Rhinolophus ferrumequinum: one gene and its partner. The protein of the gene in region 1 interacts with the protein of each later gene in a biochemical or structural test. Links are inferred from orthologs where the notes say so. Each region holds a gene or a part of one and is shown on either strand. Other genes may lie near its edges. The genes, in order: ATM and RBBP8.

Evidence for each region.
Region 2: of the proteins of ATM (region 1) and RBBP8, one has a biochemical effect on the other in vitro, tested with the Homo sapiens proteins (4 studies listed by BioGRID, with this or other methods). The link is inferred for Rhinolophus ferrumequinum from reciprocal best matches to the Homo sapiens genes ATM and RBBP8.

Annotation. Positions count from the first base shown.
Region 1 is NC_046294.1:77,199,692-77,206,928, forward strand, and holds the start of ATM (serine-protein kinase ATM), read right to left. Parts: upstream 3,271-7,237; 5' UTR 3,046-3,270; intron 2,771-3,045; exon of another isoform or gene 2,571-2,770; intron 1,826-2,570; 5' UTR 1,796-1,825; coding exon 1,724-1,795; intron 1,647-1,723; coding exon 1,534-1,646; intron 270-1,533; coding exon 124-269; intron 1-123. Other genes in the region: protein NPAT, read left to right, coding at 3,677-3,713.
Region 2 is NC_046302.1:18,509,624-18,517,049, reverse strand, and holds the start of RBBP8 (DNA endonuclease RBBP8), read right to left. Parts: upstream 3,015-7,426; 5' UTR 2,883-3,014; intron 1-2,882. UniProt on the Homo sapiens protein: Endonuclease that cooperates with the MRE11-RAD50-NBN (MRN) complex in DNA-end resection, the first step of double-strand break (DSB) repair through the homologous recombination (HR) pathway.

The DNA of each region.
Region 1 (7,237 bases):
TTAAAAACCATTCTATGTACTAGAAATTAGAGCTAGCACTCAACTTTTACCTCACCATATTCAGACCAAACTTATGCAACAATAACCCATTAAGCCAATTATTTATAATAACACAGCACCTACTTTTATTTGCACATTTGATGAAGTATTTGACCAAGCTACTGATTTCTTGCATCCTTTTCTGCCTGGTGGCTTGTGTTGAGGCTGATACATTTGGTTTTGCTGTTTTCAGACTTTCTGTTTCTTTCTGAATATATCCTTGTAAGAATCTTCAAGAAAACAAAATAGAATTTCAGAAACTCATTAAATGCTTAAATAATTATAATAGTTTCAAAAAATCCTTCATGCCATCATAAAGAGCATATTTTAAACCATGTCGCTTTAATCAATGTATCAGCTAAATGAAATAATCAAATTTCTTTTTCAAGGCTTAAGCCCCAAGTATCAATTTAAAGTCTGGTCTGCAAAGCTCTTAATCTGTAACCTCCATGATTTTCTATTGCTTTACTGCCCGCTTTCTCTTTATCATTAAAAGCTTGCAGTACTATTAACGGCTCTTAATTCTCTCACCTCTTGCTGTTATTCTATACATGACCTGACTCTTCCCTAGGCAGCTGGTAACATTTCTGGCATTTTAATGAAGCCTGCCTAGAAGATATTCATGATTAATTGGGAGTTCCAGGTGCATATTTGGTCTACCTGATCAGCTTATTCAAAATAGTATTCATCTTTAAATAATATCTGTATTTGTGGTATCTGAAATAAACTAAGAAACCAGAGGAAAAGAAGCATGCATTTATCATGTTTTCAGCACTGAAATCTGTAACAATCTAGCACCAAATAAGAGGTAAAAAAATAAAATAGATTATCTGTTCTAAATTCTCAGGAACAATACTCATACTTCTTTTTGACTGCATATGCTGTTTCAAGTTACTAAGTATTCTACACTAATTTAAAATATTTTATTCATCTTTCCTAAGTCTTCCAACCTATTTCCAGTTATAAATGGACTTCATAGTTAAAAACTGGCTTAATGTAAAAATGTATCAATTCTATTTGACAGTCCAGTCCAATGCCTGAGCTCTGTTTGTTTTTTAAATTGCATTCATATGAAATTATTCTAAAATTCCTTTTGATGTTTTATTATAATTTAACATCTGGCAGTTATTTAGAGCAATATTTAAAGATATCAAAGTAATAATAAAGCACTTACAACTTTATTCTCTAATTTAAAATAAAGTCTTATGAACTAACTGCTATGAAAGGAATTCTCTAATCTTGAGTGAGACATGTCTAAAACATTTTATTGAACAAATGATTCAAAATTCTGTCTATATAAACACCTTTTAAAAATTATGTTTCAGATAAATATTAAGCACTAACTTCGTATGTAAAGCACAATGTTATATAGGGAACAAAGACAAGTAAGAACCTAAAAATACACACACACACACACACAGACACACACACACACACACACACACACAATCACAACAAATAAAAAATACAGTAAAAAAACTTAGAATGGAATACCTAAAAACAGCATCCCAATTTAAGTATTTCCCTTGTTTGGAATCTGAATGCCTATCTAAATGTTGAACGGTTTCAGGATCCCGAATAAGGCGCTTAAATTTCTCAACTTCTTTCTGAAAATGAAAACATAATAATGGTTAGCAACCACACGCTTGCTTCAAGGCAAGATTGAATTTAAGTAATTCACTACCCTTCGTTCTGTAGCTCTATCATGTTCTAGTTGCCGACAGCAAATAAGGAGATCATTAAGTGCTAGACTCATGGTTCAGAATTTCAGAAAACAGCTCATGGTCTGTAAAAAAATACATACATAAAATTATTTCAGACTATGCTATTAATATATAATTAGATCTAAATGTACAACTAGAGGCATATCGTGATCAAAGGCACAATGATTTTTCTTAACATTTCCAAGTTTAAATGAGATTTTCTCAGAATATATCAAAACAAAGCTTCAACATGCAAATGTGTGCTTTGTGTGAATTGGCAGGATAAAACATAAAACATACAATTTATGTTATTGTTCTGGGACCTTTTCTAAGAAACATGACATTTAAATTGAAGCAAACTACAGAGTAAGACTACCAATTTCATTGACAGATAGCTCTAATTCTTTTCTCCATTTGTATTCATTGGTCCTTCTGACCCCTGCTCATCCCTATGACACCCTCCTTTACTTTGCGGTAGGTTACAGGATGTTATTTGATAGTCTTTTTCATTTGATTGTATACTTCTTGAGGACAGGTTATTTTTATTTTTCCATTCCTTATGGTTTTATACATGATTCTTCCCCCTTTTTGTTTAATCTACAGTCTCCTTGATTGAATCAATAAGGAAAATAAAATTGGGATTCTAACCAATGAAGACACCTTAGCAACACCCAAAGAACCATAAAGGTAGGTACCTTCATTCCTGAATATACTAAAGAATTGATTCTCCCAGTCTGTTTCCACAGAACCTCCTTCACCCCTCTACTATCACAGTTCTCTTCTATCACATTATCATCCTGGATTGTTAGTCTTTTTACTGAATTATACCTGGTAAAATCAGCAGCGAACGTCCTGCAATGCTCACCACAGGCAAGAATTGTCACAAGGCAAGAATTGTCACAAGGAAGATAGTACAGCGAAGTCACAGCTGACAGAATTCGAACTCTGGCAGTGTGATTGCAGAGCCCATGTTCTTAAACCACGCGACAGTAGTTTAAGCCTCAACAGATGCTCGTTGATTAAAACTACTAATAATGAGAGAGGGAAAAAAGATTAGTCATCTAGTTAAACTTGGACTCGTAGGAGGGTTCAATTCAGGGCATTCAAGAAAAGGTTCAAGGCTAAATCCGCTAGGAGCTCGGAGAGAGGGCAGGAGACAGCGATGAGAATAGGGACCGGGAAAGATCAGGTGTAGAGAGGAGTAAAAGGCCGCTCTAGAGGAGTGCGTAAGATTGGGTGTCTAGAGGCTAGAACGGCTCGGATAGGACTGAATTCCCCCAAAGCATTGCTTCTGTGCGCCTACCGCAGGACTCCACGACAGCCAAAGTGCAATTTCTTGAAGCGGCGGTGGTTGCAGTCCAAATCGCCGCTCTCCTCGCCTCTGCTCGCAGCCACAAGTGCTGCAGCCCGCTATCCACGCACAATTCCCGCTTCCGGTTCAAACTTGGCGTGACCGCGCAGCACCCTTCTCGGGAGGAAGAAAGAAGGCTGACCCAGCCGGCACACCGTCTGCCCATGCGCGGCAGCATCACTTGCTCTGGGTTCCAAGTACTCGCTTCCTCAAAACATTGGACTCGGCTGAGGAAACACGCTTGCGCCTCGCCCACCAATGGCTTGCGCCCTTGCATTTGCAGCTCGTCCTCTGGCTCGAGTTCCTGGGCAAGCACCCCACCTCCTTGCCCCTTTCAGCCCCACCCCTCCAAATATGAGGGCGGAAATGACGACAGTGCCAAGGAGAACGGAGGCGGGTTTCATTTCGGCGCCTTTCTTTCTCCCGCGGAAGCGATTGGCTGGCGTGAAGTGAAAGAGGCGGGACAAATTGCCGCGGGTTCAGTGCCGCCACTGGAACCGGGAGATGCGGCGCAGGAGCTGTCGCTGTGTTGGCTTTTACCTGAGTCTTGTCTCCTATTGCGGTTCCTTCTGCGGTTTGGATCATGTTGTTACCTTCGGACGTAGCCCGGCTGGTATTGGGTAAGTTCGGACGCGGGAGAGAGGGATATTGGACCAGCTAAGCGGGACGGAAGGACCTTTGGGGCCAAAGGTTTTCCCAGGGTGGGGAAGCTTTGGGCTTTTGCCTCCCCGCCTACAACTTCAGCCTGGCGGTGACTCTTCTTCAGCCGGAGGCTCGGGCAGTGTAAGCCTCTTTGTGTGTGGATGCTCCGCTCCTCAGAGGCTGCGTGGTAAGGAGAGGACTGAAGAGAAGCTCGGCATGGAACACCTGAGGCCCGGATTCGGAGGGCCAGTCAGGCCTCCACACTTAATTGGGACCCTTGAAGGAGAGGTGTCTACGTGACGGACGGGCTGTGTGTTTTTCAATCTTGGGCGCACTTTCCCTTCTCAGGGCTGGGACCAAAATAGGAAAAATATAAGGACTTCCTCATTCACCCAGCTTTGTAGAAAGACCTTCCTGACGCCCTTCTCATAATTCGCCCTTAGAACTACGGATTTGGGGCGAATGGGGTGTTCTTCCCTCTCCAGTCTACCCCGCAATAAGTCGTTCAGTGTAGAGGTTTTAAATGCCAGTTGGATATTAAAACAGCAGCAATTCCTATTTTGATGAGCAAGAAATTACACGGGAAATTCCTTCCAGTTAAAATTTCTAGTCCCGGTTAGTTTTTCCTCCATTTAAGGAGGGTTAATTCCTTGGACCAGTTGTCAGGGTGTATTGTCTATGTGAGAGACAGGTTTTGTTTGTCCCCTCAAAGAATAAAGAGAATTGTACTGCTGGGAACGAGTGCCACATAAAGCTCAAAACTTGAGCCAATGATTTACAGACATCATGTGCAATATCCCTGAAAGTAAATGGTAAACATCTGTGATGAAACTTCCTGTAGTATCCACAGCCATTACTACCATTGTTTTATTGTTAGAAAAACCTATGTCTTGTTTCTTTTTTAAATACTCAGCCCTGTCCAAAGAAGTGGTGTTTGTGCATGGGCTCTTACTAGACACTTTGCAGGAAATATTAGAGGGTAGTGGTTCCACCATCCATTTTTGGAAAAGCTAATTGAATGGATTCAGGTCAAACTAATATTTTGGTAATGTTTGCCTAATCTTTTTGCCCATTTTATCAGACTTGAGTATCAACAGTTAACCTACATCTATATCTGTGAGAAAAAGCTGTCTTGCAATTGTTACATTTGTTAGGCTTACATGAAAACCAATCCAAAGTAGACTTTGCTAAAGTTCGCGATAACATTGACATATTTTTTTTCATTCATGCAGTGTTTGCTTAAGAATTTTTGAGTTTTGGCAGTTTGGTGATCCAGATGGGCTTCAGTAACCACAGTCTTCAACAGGGTTTGTCAACCTGGGCACTATTGACAATTGGGGCCAGATAATTATTTATGGGGAACTCTCCTGTGCATTGTGGGATGTGTAGCAGCACATCCGTGGCCTCTATGCTTTAGATGCCAGTAGGACCCCACTCCCCACCACCACCCAGTTTTGACAAAGAAAAATGTCTCCAGATATTGCTAGTATGTACTAGGGAGGGCAAAATCGCCCCCAGTTAAAGAACCGCTAGTCTTAAAAAAGCAATATGATTTTCTAACTGGAATAATTCACACCAACTTGTGAAAGTCTTTATTCTCCACAAACAGCTGCTCTTCTTTTTTTCAGTGGGTAAAAACTCCAGAGTCATTGTTCTTATCCTAAACTAGTTCTTTGTCATTCAGATTCCATTTTGATTGCCACCTATCCTACTTCTCTTTTGTACTTTTGTCATGGCTTTTCAATAGTCTTGCAATTCATCTTATTTACTGTTACAAAATCTGCCTAAAGCATTTACACTACACCTCCTGTTCTTAAAGTTGAAACAATTGTGCTTACCAAAAATTTAACATTGTGCAAGAGAATAATAAAGAAGTGTCTGCACACTCACTGCTCTTACTTTTTTTCATTTAGCATTATCTTGAAATTCAGGTAAAGATTAGCAATTCCAAAACTTAATGGCTTAAAATATTCATTTTATTATTCGCTCATGATTCTTCTCCTGCCGCATCGTCAGCCCTTCTCTGTCATTGGCCCCTGTCCTTCATAAGGTTCTTTCAGCAAATCTTTGGGTGCTGGTATGTTCCAGACACTGCCAAATGCTGAGAATAGAGAGAAGTAAGTTCTCCCTTCAGAGTTCACATAATTAGGTGTTTTTACCGTTACGCACACACACCATTTTCTGCACCCCACCTCACATTCTGTCTAATGCTCTGTCACCCTTTCACAAGTTAAATTTATTCAAAGAACAATGAAAACTATACAGTTGCTCTGCTTCCTCACCTACCTTTCTTTCAACGCACTGCACTGATTTTTGTACCTCGCTTCCCCACTTAGATAGCCCTTGCTACTCAGCTACAGCCAGCTCTTTAGTCTTGCTGGAATGTCTTTAAATATTGCACAGGCCAAAATACATCCAAGTGTTGTTTACTGCCTCTGGGCCACCAGTTTGTATGGCATACTGATAAAATCCAAAGTGTCGTGTGGAGCTGATCCTTCTTCCCTCTCCTGCTTGATCTCAACTTCTCAGCGTCTGCCCCATGCTCCAGGCATACCAAACTACTTACAGTTTCTCCAAATATTCCTATATATTCTGTTTCCTCTGCCTGCAGTGTTTTACTCCCTGTCTTCCTAGTACATACTGATATTTAAGGTTCAGGTGAAATGTAATCGCTGAAACCTCTTCCAGCAAGTATTATAATTAGTGTTTTCTCCTTAAATGTTCCCACAACAACATTGCACATTACTTCTGTTATTCCCTTAGCATGTGTGTTTACTTACCTTTCTTTGGAAAATATACACAAAATTGAACCATTTTAGTGATTTTTAAGGGTACAGTTCTGTGGAATTAAGTTTATTTGCATTTACTTACATTCACATTGTTCTGTAACTATCACCATCATTTCCCTCTAGAACTTTTTTATCTTCCCTAAATGAAACTTACGCAGCTTTTTTGTCCTATTCAGTATTCTTAATCTGGGATTAATGGACAGGCTTCGATAGTTTTAGGATCCCCCAAAACTGTAAAGGTTTATGTGCAGGTGGGGCATTTTTATGGGTGAAGCGTCCAGAACTTTCTTTAGATTCCTAAATAGATTTGTTCCTTTCTGCATGAATCAGCATCCATTCAGGAAAACTGAAACCTATCTGAGTATTTAACATGGAGGGATTTAATGAAGGAGTTGGTTACACTGCCAATATAAAAGGTAAGAAGACCAGCAGCTTAAGTGAGCCAACTCAGAGGGTAGCAACAGCTGGAAGCCACTAAAACAGGAGGAGAGGAGAAACGAGGCAACCCAGAGGCTGGGTTCACTGTGTGGAAGATGGAAGGTAGGTTTGTCTGGTGAGGGAGCAGTAGTCCTAGAGGAGATTAAGGCAGAGAGAGAATGGGAGAAAAATGGTGTGGCTTCTTCCAGTCTCACACCAGAGCTTCCCATTTATTGAACCCAGCCAGAAGCCAGCTGACCTGGAGCCTAGGAAACATTGCCTGCATGGGCTCAGGT
Region 2 (7,426 bases), on another chromosome or scaffold:
CATTTCCTTGGAATTCCTGAAGTTAAAAACATTCAAAGAATTTTTGATCAATTATAAGCATAGCACTGTATTAAGAGCTCACCACTTAAATAACAAGTTCTATCATCTCAGACATGGGTTTTGAATCCTGCAGTTCTGGTCTTCATAACCTTACTGAAACTTTCCTGTCAGTTCTAACCAAATTTTAGATGTACTAACTTTTTAGGCAAAAATCCTAAACTATATCAACATAAGAGTGACTAAAACAATACAAGAATACATGCATACTAAGAAAATAAACAGTCGAGATAGTTTAAAGCAATATTAAGTCAGAAAACGACAGCAAGATCCTCAAACTTGAAGGGGAATATGAAGGAAATATTAAGGAGTGTGTCAGTTTGATACAAAATTTTATGATGGCATTAAGAGATTAAGGGCTTGAAGTGGTAGTCACCTTCATTACCAATGGTAACTCCATAAATTTAGCCACTATGACAAAAAAAGTTTGGGGACAATAATGATATAGATTAAGATATAAAAACAAATAATTTCTTAGTTCAGCAAAGACACATTAACATAACTCTACAATACAATTTTATCTTTTTACAAATCCTTTAGAAAACAGATTAGATTTCATGTAGCATTCAGAAGAGTCAATGTAGGGTAGTGAAAAAAAACCACTATTAGTCTGGGCTGGTATTCAGGAAACTGAGATGTTCTGGTGCCAGAGCGACCCTTAAGTTATATAGTGGTGATTCACCTACATTTTGGGGCTTTTCATTCAACTCAAGCATGAGGAGTTGGATTCCTTAGTTATATTTAAGAGTCCTTCTAGCTCAAAAATGTTAGGATTCTAAGTGCTTTTGGCAGGAAACCCATGCAGATATTCAGGAAGGAAAGAGGTTACTGTTGTTAAGAAAGCTAACATTGTTGACAAAAACAGTCATTGTGTGAAACTGTGTCGCTAGGAATAAAGGAATTCATCCAATGAGACTTAAAGAATTGAAAGATTTTTAAATGAGTAGAACAATTTTTGACCCTGGCCCTGAGATAATTTAGGGCCATTCAAAATACACACACACACACACACACAAACACACACACACACACTCCTAATTTGATTGATAAATCCGTATATCCTTAATTTTAATCAAAACATCACAATGTATGAATATTTTAAAGGAATCGATTTATGGAAATACATAAAATTCATGTTTAATAGCACTTTCATATATTTGAAACGGAAAATCCTATTAAATGAAAACTGTAAAATCCCTCTCCAAAATGTAGAGTTAACCTTAAAATTTTGCCCAAGGATTTTTATGAAATATACCTCTAGCTTTTAAATTGCTTTTCTTAAAATCATAGATATAAAAATGCTCAATAAATAAATTTGAATTCCAAGTTAAGTTTATTTTCAAACAGTAAGCCCTGTATTTTAAACACTATATGATTTAAAAATTTTTAATTACCATATATAATATAGTCACCAAAAACACTAAAAGTATACTCTGTTGACATGTCTGTATCTTACCTGAAAAGAGAAAATTTCACCCAACTAAAAATTTTGATCCATATTTCCTTCAAATCGTCAGAATACAGCTTATGCTGAATAAAATTAATTTTGGTTTGCTGAATCAGCACATTCCTTTTGCAGATTCAACATTACATGGCTTTTTAGAAGTTTAGCTGAATTATCAGCAGTTTTATGCAGAATTGCTTTGGAGTGAAAAAGCATCCAAAGGGTTTTGCCAAAAAAAAAAAAAAAAGAAAAGAAAAGAAAAAAAAAAATCTTATCTGAATATTTATTCTCACTTAAAAAATTCTTTATTAGCATTCTAAAGAAATTTATAGCCTTTGAGTGTGAATACAATGACAAAGTAAGAACTCTAGTGACAATGAAAAGTGTGCATCAGTCTTGCTAGGCTCAAGGCAAAGTTATATTAAGATAGCTTACAAATAGCTTTAGACAGGAGAATATTCAGTATAAATCTGTTAAAAAAATTATTTTAATTTCCAAATAAATTCATGTGTAAATTGTAACATTAAATTGAATGCCAAGAAGATGCATGCGTTCAATTCAACCTAATACTAAGGGGGTAGTTTGGTATGCCAAAATAAATCTAAAGGGATCGGTAACTTTCATTTTAAATGACACAAACTCCTAACATAAATTAATCGGATCAATGAAAGGGAGACATAAAATAATTATTTTCAAATATAATATAAGGGAACGGAAGATACAAATTTTCTTTAACCCCAAAAGTTGTTCGGATGTAATAAGGCATGACAAAACCTGTCTTCATTCCTTTCTATTCAGCTCAGCAAGTGCTTTTGAGCTCCAATAGTTAATCAGTTACCAGATTCCACAATGTTTTTTTTTTTTTTTCCACACTCCTCAATTCTTGCTGTGAATTGTTCCTCTAATGTACTTAGGATCACCAAGGAAGCCAACACCATTTTTTTCTTTGCACCTTAAAAAAGCAATTATTATTTCATCCACAATTAGATTTATCATATAAAATTGTTCCTGTGTAGCAACAGTCTATAAAACATAATAGGACATTATCAAAGAAGTAGATGGCTTAAGGTGAATCATTAATAGGTGAAATATATTTAGCAAAATTGTTCAACTCAGCTTTTTAAATGACTGTATGCCCAAGTCATGCCCAACTTACAAAAAGGTATAGCCAAAGTGTATTATATACCAAATAACCTTTATCCAAACAAATCAGTGAACATATATGCAAGTGTTACAAAACCATATAGAACCAGTTTTACATAAAAGGTATAATGCAGTTATTATCATATTAAAAATAGACATCTTAAAACATCATTTAATTTAACCTTCCAAAAGTGCACAGAATACTGAGAAATATATAAAAAAAAATGTATTAACTTACCCTTCAATTTATTTAGAAACCCTCTGCTCTTGGTCAAAAGCAGGTGTTTCACTGCTGACTTTCCCTGAAGCTATGAACTTAAACAGTAAATCAGTGGAAGCCACCTCGCTGGACCACGCTAGAGTTTACTAGACACTACTGCTATGTGGAAGAGTTGTGCTGCATCTAAGCTATATACAGTGTGCAATGGATAACCTAATATGTCTTTCATTTAACTGGCTGGGCAGGTTTCTACCGTCTGTGGAACATGGAATCAAACCAGAATATGTTGGCATAACAGGCCAGTCAAACCGGTTCTTCTGTAGGTCCAGAACCTGTCCAACCAGTCTGCATCAAAGGCTAGCCTAACAAGCTGCAGCGGCTCAGTTCTGCTAAGCTTGTACTGGGTGAGTTATCCCCACCTGCAACTTCCAATAAACTGCTCAGAATGTTGTAGCCTCCAGCAAAATAATTCAGAGTTCTAGTGGGAGGGGTAGATCTGTGTCAGGTATAGCAAGAGTCCATTGTTATAAACCTCTCCGTGAGTATCTATCGTTCTCCGAGGTAGGTAACCCTTTTTAAAATGTACTCTAGGGCTCTGCACGCTAAAGCTTCTAGAAGGAGAATATCTACATGAAGAACCTATAGTGTTTAACCTTTTCCACTAGTCCACTTGGCTCTATTCAGTCTAGCTTAGCCTTAACGTGGAGGTTGATATTCCCACAAGAGTAGTGGCCCTGAGAGCTAGAAGGAAGCATTTCCAGAGGGAGGAAAACAAGATGGAGATTGACTAAACATTTACCTGGGTGTGTTAATCTTCCTTGTACTCAAAAGATCCTTATACCATCCCAGTCTAAAATTGGAAAAATTCCTATTTCTATATACTAGGACAACTTGGAGAGGTTTTACTTTGGATATGCAACAGCTGAACACAAATTACTGATATCTACTAGGTGCCAGAAGCTGTGCCCGGTACAGGGTTACAATGATGAAAAAGACACATTTAGTAAGAGGTGGGAGGACTGTCCAAATTTCTAGATAAGCATGTCTAGGAATCTTTTGGAAAGAAGGAATGAGCAACACAAGATCATATATTGATGGAAATTGGTTTGTGTTAAGGGAGACCATGTGAGATTTGTTCTTACTCTGTCATAATACTTGCACATTTCAAATCAGTCTTTTCTATCTATTGATGCAGCGATTCTCAAATTTCCTTGCTTAAGTACCTCCTGAAATGCTGATTAAGAACACAAATTACCGGGTCTCACCTCCAGAGATTTCGTCCGGGGTGGAGTGTTACTAATAGGTCTAGGGTGTTACTCAAGCACTTGTGATTATGCTGCAGTTGTTGCAGGGACCACAGGCCCAGACTCCTGCTTCTTTTCTATTTTTTTGTACTTAATTAAATAGGATACATATTAATCCAAAGTTGCCATTTGTTTTTGTGTCTCCAGTGTCTAAAACTCCAACACTTAGAAAGTATTTAATAAATGCTTAAGTAAATATCTACTCAACACCAGCACTTGCTAGATCCAAGGGGAATTACAACTAGTAACTATTATGTGAATCAAACTGCATTAGGTACACAGGAGCACAGAAAAGGGAGCAAATATGACTGAATAGGGGAAAAACTGCACAAAGGAGATGGGTTTAGAGCCTTTCTTAACCGTGATCAAAGATTGATATCTGCAATATAACAAAAGGTTGAGGGAACAATGAAAAGAATGCCTTTGATTTGATACAGTAATAAAAGTTTTAAGTACTTGAGGACACCATGACCTGAAAACTTAATAATAATGTTATTTTCTAGAGCAGGGCTTAGCAAATTTTTCCACAAGGATCAGAGAGTAAATATTTTAGGGTTTTTGTTTCAACTATTGAACTCTATTTCAACTATTGAACTCTAACATGGTAGTACAAAAAGAGATGTAAACAATAGTCAATGAATGGGTGTGGCTTTGTTCCAATAAAACTTAATAAAGTGACAGGCTGGATCTGGCCAATGGGCCATGGTTTGCTGACAACTGCTCAAGAGTGAAACTGGTGAAAATTAACAAGATTGGTTAGGAAAATGGACTTGGGAGTCAGAAAAATGGGTTCCTTCCTAGTTTTGTTCCATATTAGCTTTGTCACCTGAATCAAGCATTCATTTTATTTACTTAATGTGGGTGAAAGTAATAGTTGCTATCTCCAAGAGTTATTCTATGGTTCAAATAAAATAATTCACATGAGGCTTTATCCAAAAATCTAGTACACAATAAGCACCCAATAAAATGTCAGCTAAAAATAAAACTGTAGTTAAACAGTAGTTGACATGGTTGTTTTTTTCATTATTTCTTAAAGTCCCACTACAATGACCAAAACAGTAAATAGCAAAGAACAAAAACAGCATGAACTCTTAAGGATCAAACAGAATGAGAGAGGTAGCACACAAGAGATGTCCATAAATTTTGGAAGAAGGAATGTGCATAGGTGATGACTGATTTAGCAGAATAGAGAAAGAGGAAGTCTACTTGCAATGATAAAAGAAAGTCTATCTTTGCTGCAGAATCCTAGAAAACTTCTGGAATTGGCGGCATCTCTAAATGGTTTGGGGGAGTTTGGGGAAAGGCTTTAAATGGAAGGATTGGTTGACAAAAGACAGGCAGGACTTGTTGATTCATGCTGGGAGAGATTGTCCCAGATTGGTTCTAGACTTGAAAATACCAGGCAGAGATGAAGGCGAATGGTAAAGTACTACACTGAAAGCAATGAGATTGTACTAGTTTCCTATGGCTGCTATAACAAATTACCACAAACTTAGTGGTTTAAAAGAACACAAATTTATTGTCTTACAGTTCTGGAGGTTAGAAGTCCAAAATGGGTCTTACTTGCTACAGTTAGGGTGTCAGCAGGGTTGAATTCCTTTCTGGAGGCGCTGGGGGAGAATCTGTTTCCTTGTCTTTTCCAGCTTTGAGAGGCTGCCTGCCTTCCTTGGCTCATGGCTCCCTTCCATCTTCAAAGCCAGCAATGGCCAGTCAAGTCTTTCTCACATGGCATCATTCTAACACTGACTCTGCTGCCTTCCTCTTCCATATTTAAGTCTAACTGTGTAATACAGGATAATCTCCCCATGTTATGTAACATACATATTCATAGGTTCAGGAGATTAGAATGTGGACATCTTTGAGAGGCTGTATCCTGCCTACCACTGAGATTAAGTCAAAGTCTCTATATTGAGTGGTGAGATGCCCAGGTCCATACCTCTGCTTGGCTTCTGAATGCCAGTAACCAGGTTCATACTCCTCACTCAGAAAGCAGGAAACTAGAGAAATTCTCTCCAAGAAAATTTCAAAACTCTCCTCACCCTAATGCAGTGGTTATTAACTAGGCATGGTTGTACCCACGGGGCCATTTGGCAATGTCTGGAGAAATTCTTGATTGTAAATAACTGTGTGTGAAGGGTGTGGAGGGCAGAGGTATGCCATTGGCTTCTACTGCACAGAGGCCAGGGATGCTATTAAGCGTCTTAAAATGAACAGGACAGCACGTCCTCCCTTCTCCCTGCCCCAACCCCCACATAATTATCCAATTCAAAATGTCAATAGCGCCAAAGATGAGAAACCCTAGCCTAATATTAAGCCTATAGCCAACATCACCCTAATATAAATAAATAAATCCCACCTAGACACAGAGAGCATTTTTATGCCTCATTCTAAGATATAGAGAACACCTAACATGAAAGAGACAAAAAAGGAACCAAGAGATAAAAAGAATTTATAGAAAATTGTCAATGTAGGGAGAATAATAATAATTACAAACCCCACCTATATTAATATCTTCAAAAACCTAGAAGTACTGATTACATAAAACAAGAACAGAAGGCTGTCTAACAGTGAAACTTTTGGAGAATAAAAAAGGTATTGGAGAGTAAAAAATATGATAGCAGAAATAAAAAGTCAACAGCAGTTGGAAGGTAAAGTTGAAGAAATCTACCAGAAAGTAAAATTAAGAAACTACTAAATGATGTGCTACGAAATAGGAGTAAATTAAGAAAGATGAAAACATGGAATCCAGAAGTGTCTCCACTTCTTTTTGCTTAAAGTTCAACATGGCCACCAGTCCCAAGACCACAGCACCAAATAGGGTCCTTGCACACCAGTAAGTTATGGAGACTGTGATTTTTACTTTAAAATCATCTTGCCTATGACTGAAAGAAGGAAAGAGAGCGAGAGGAAGACAGAGGGAGAGAGGATGGGAAGAAGAAAGGGAGGAGGAGGGAAGAGAGAGAAAGAGAAGAGAGAGAGAGAGAGAGAGAGAGAGAGAGAGAGAGAGAGAGAGAGAAAGAAAGAGAGAGAGAGAGACAGAGAGAGAGAGAGAGAAGATGTGAATATGATTGGTTTTTACTATGAGAATTAAATTTAAAAGTTTTTTAAATTGCAAGTGTTACATTCACTTTTCACCAAGGGTTAATGTTCAAAGATCATAAAATGAGGAAGGCAATAAAACTGTTACAAGTACAAACTTGCACCTGCAGAAAAAAGTGTTCACATTTATGTCTGCCAATATTCATAAGTAAGTGTTTG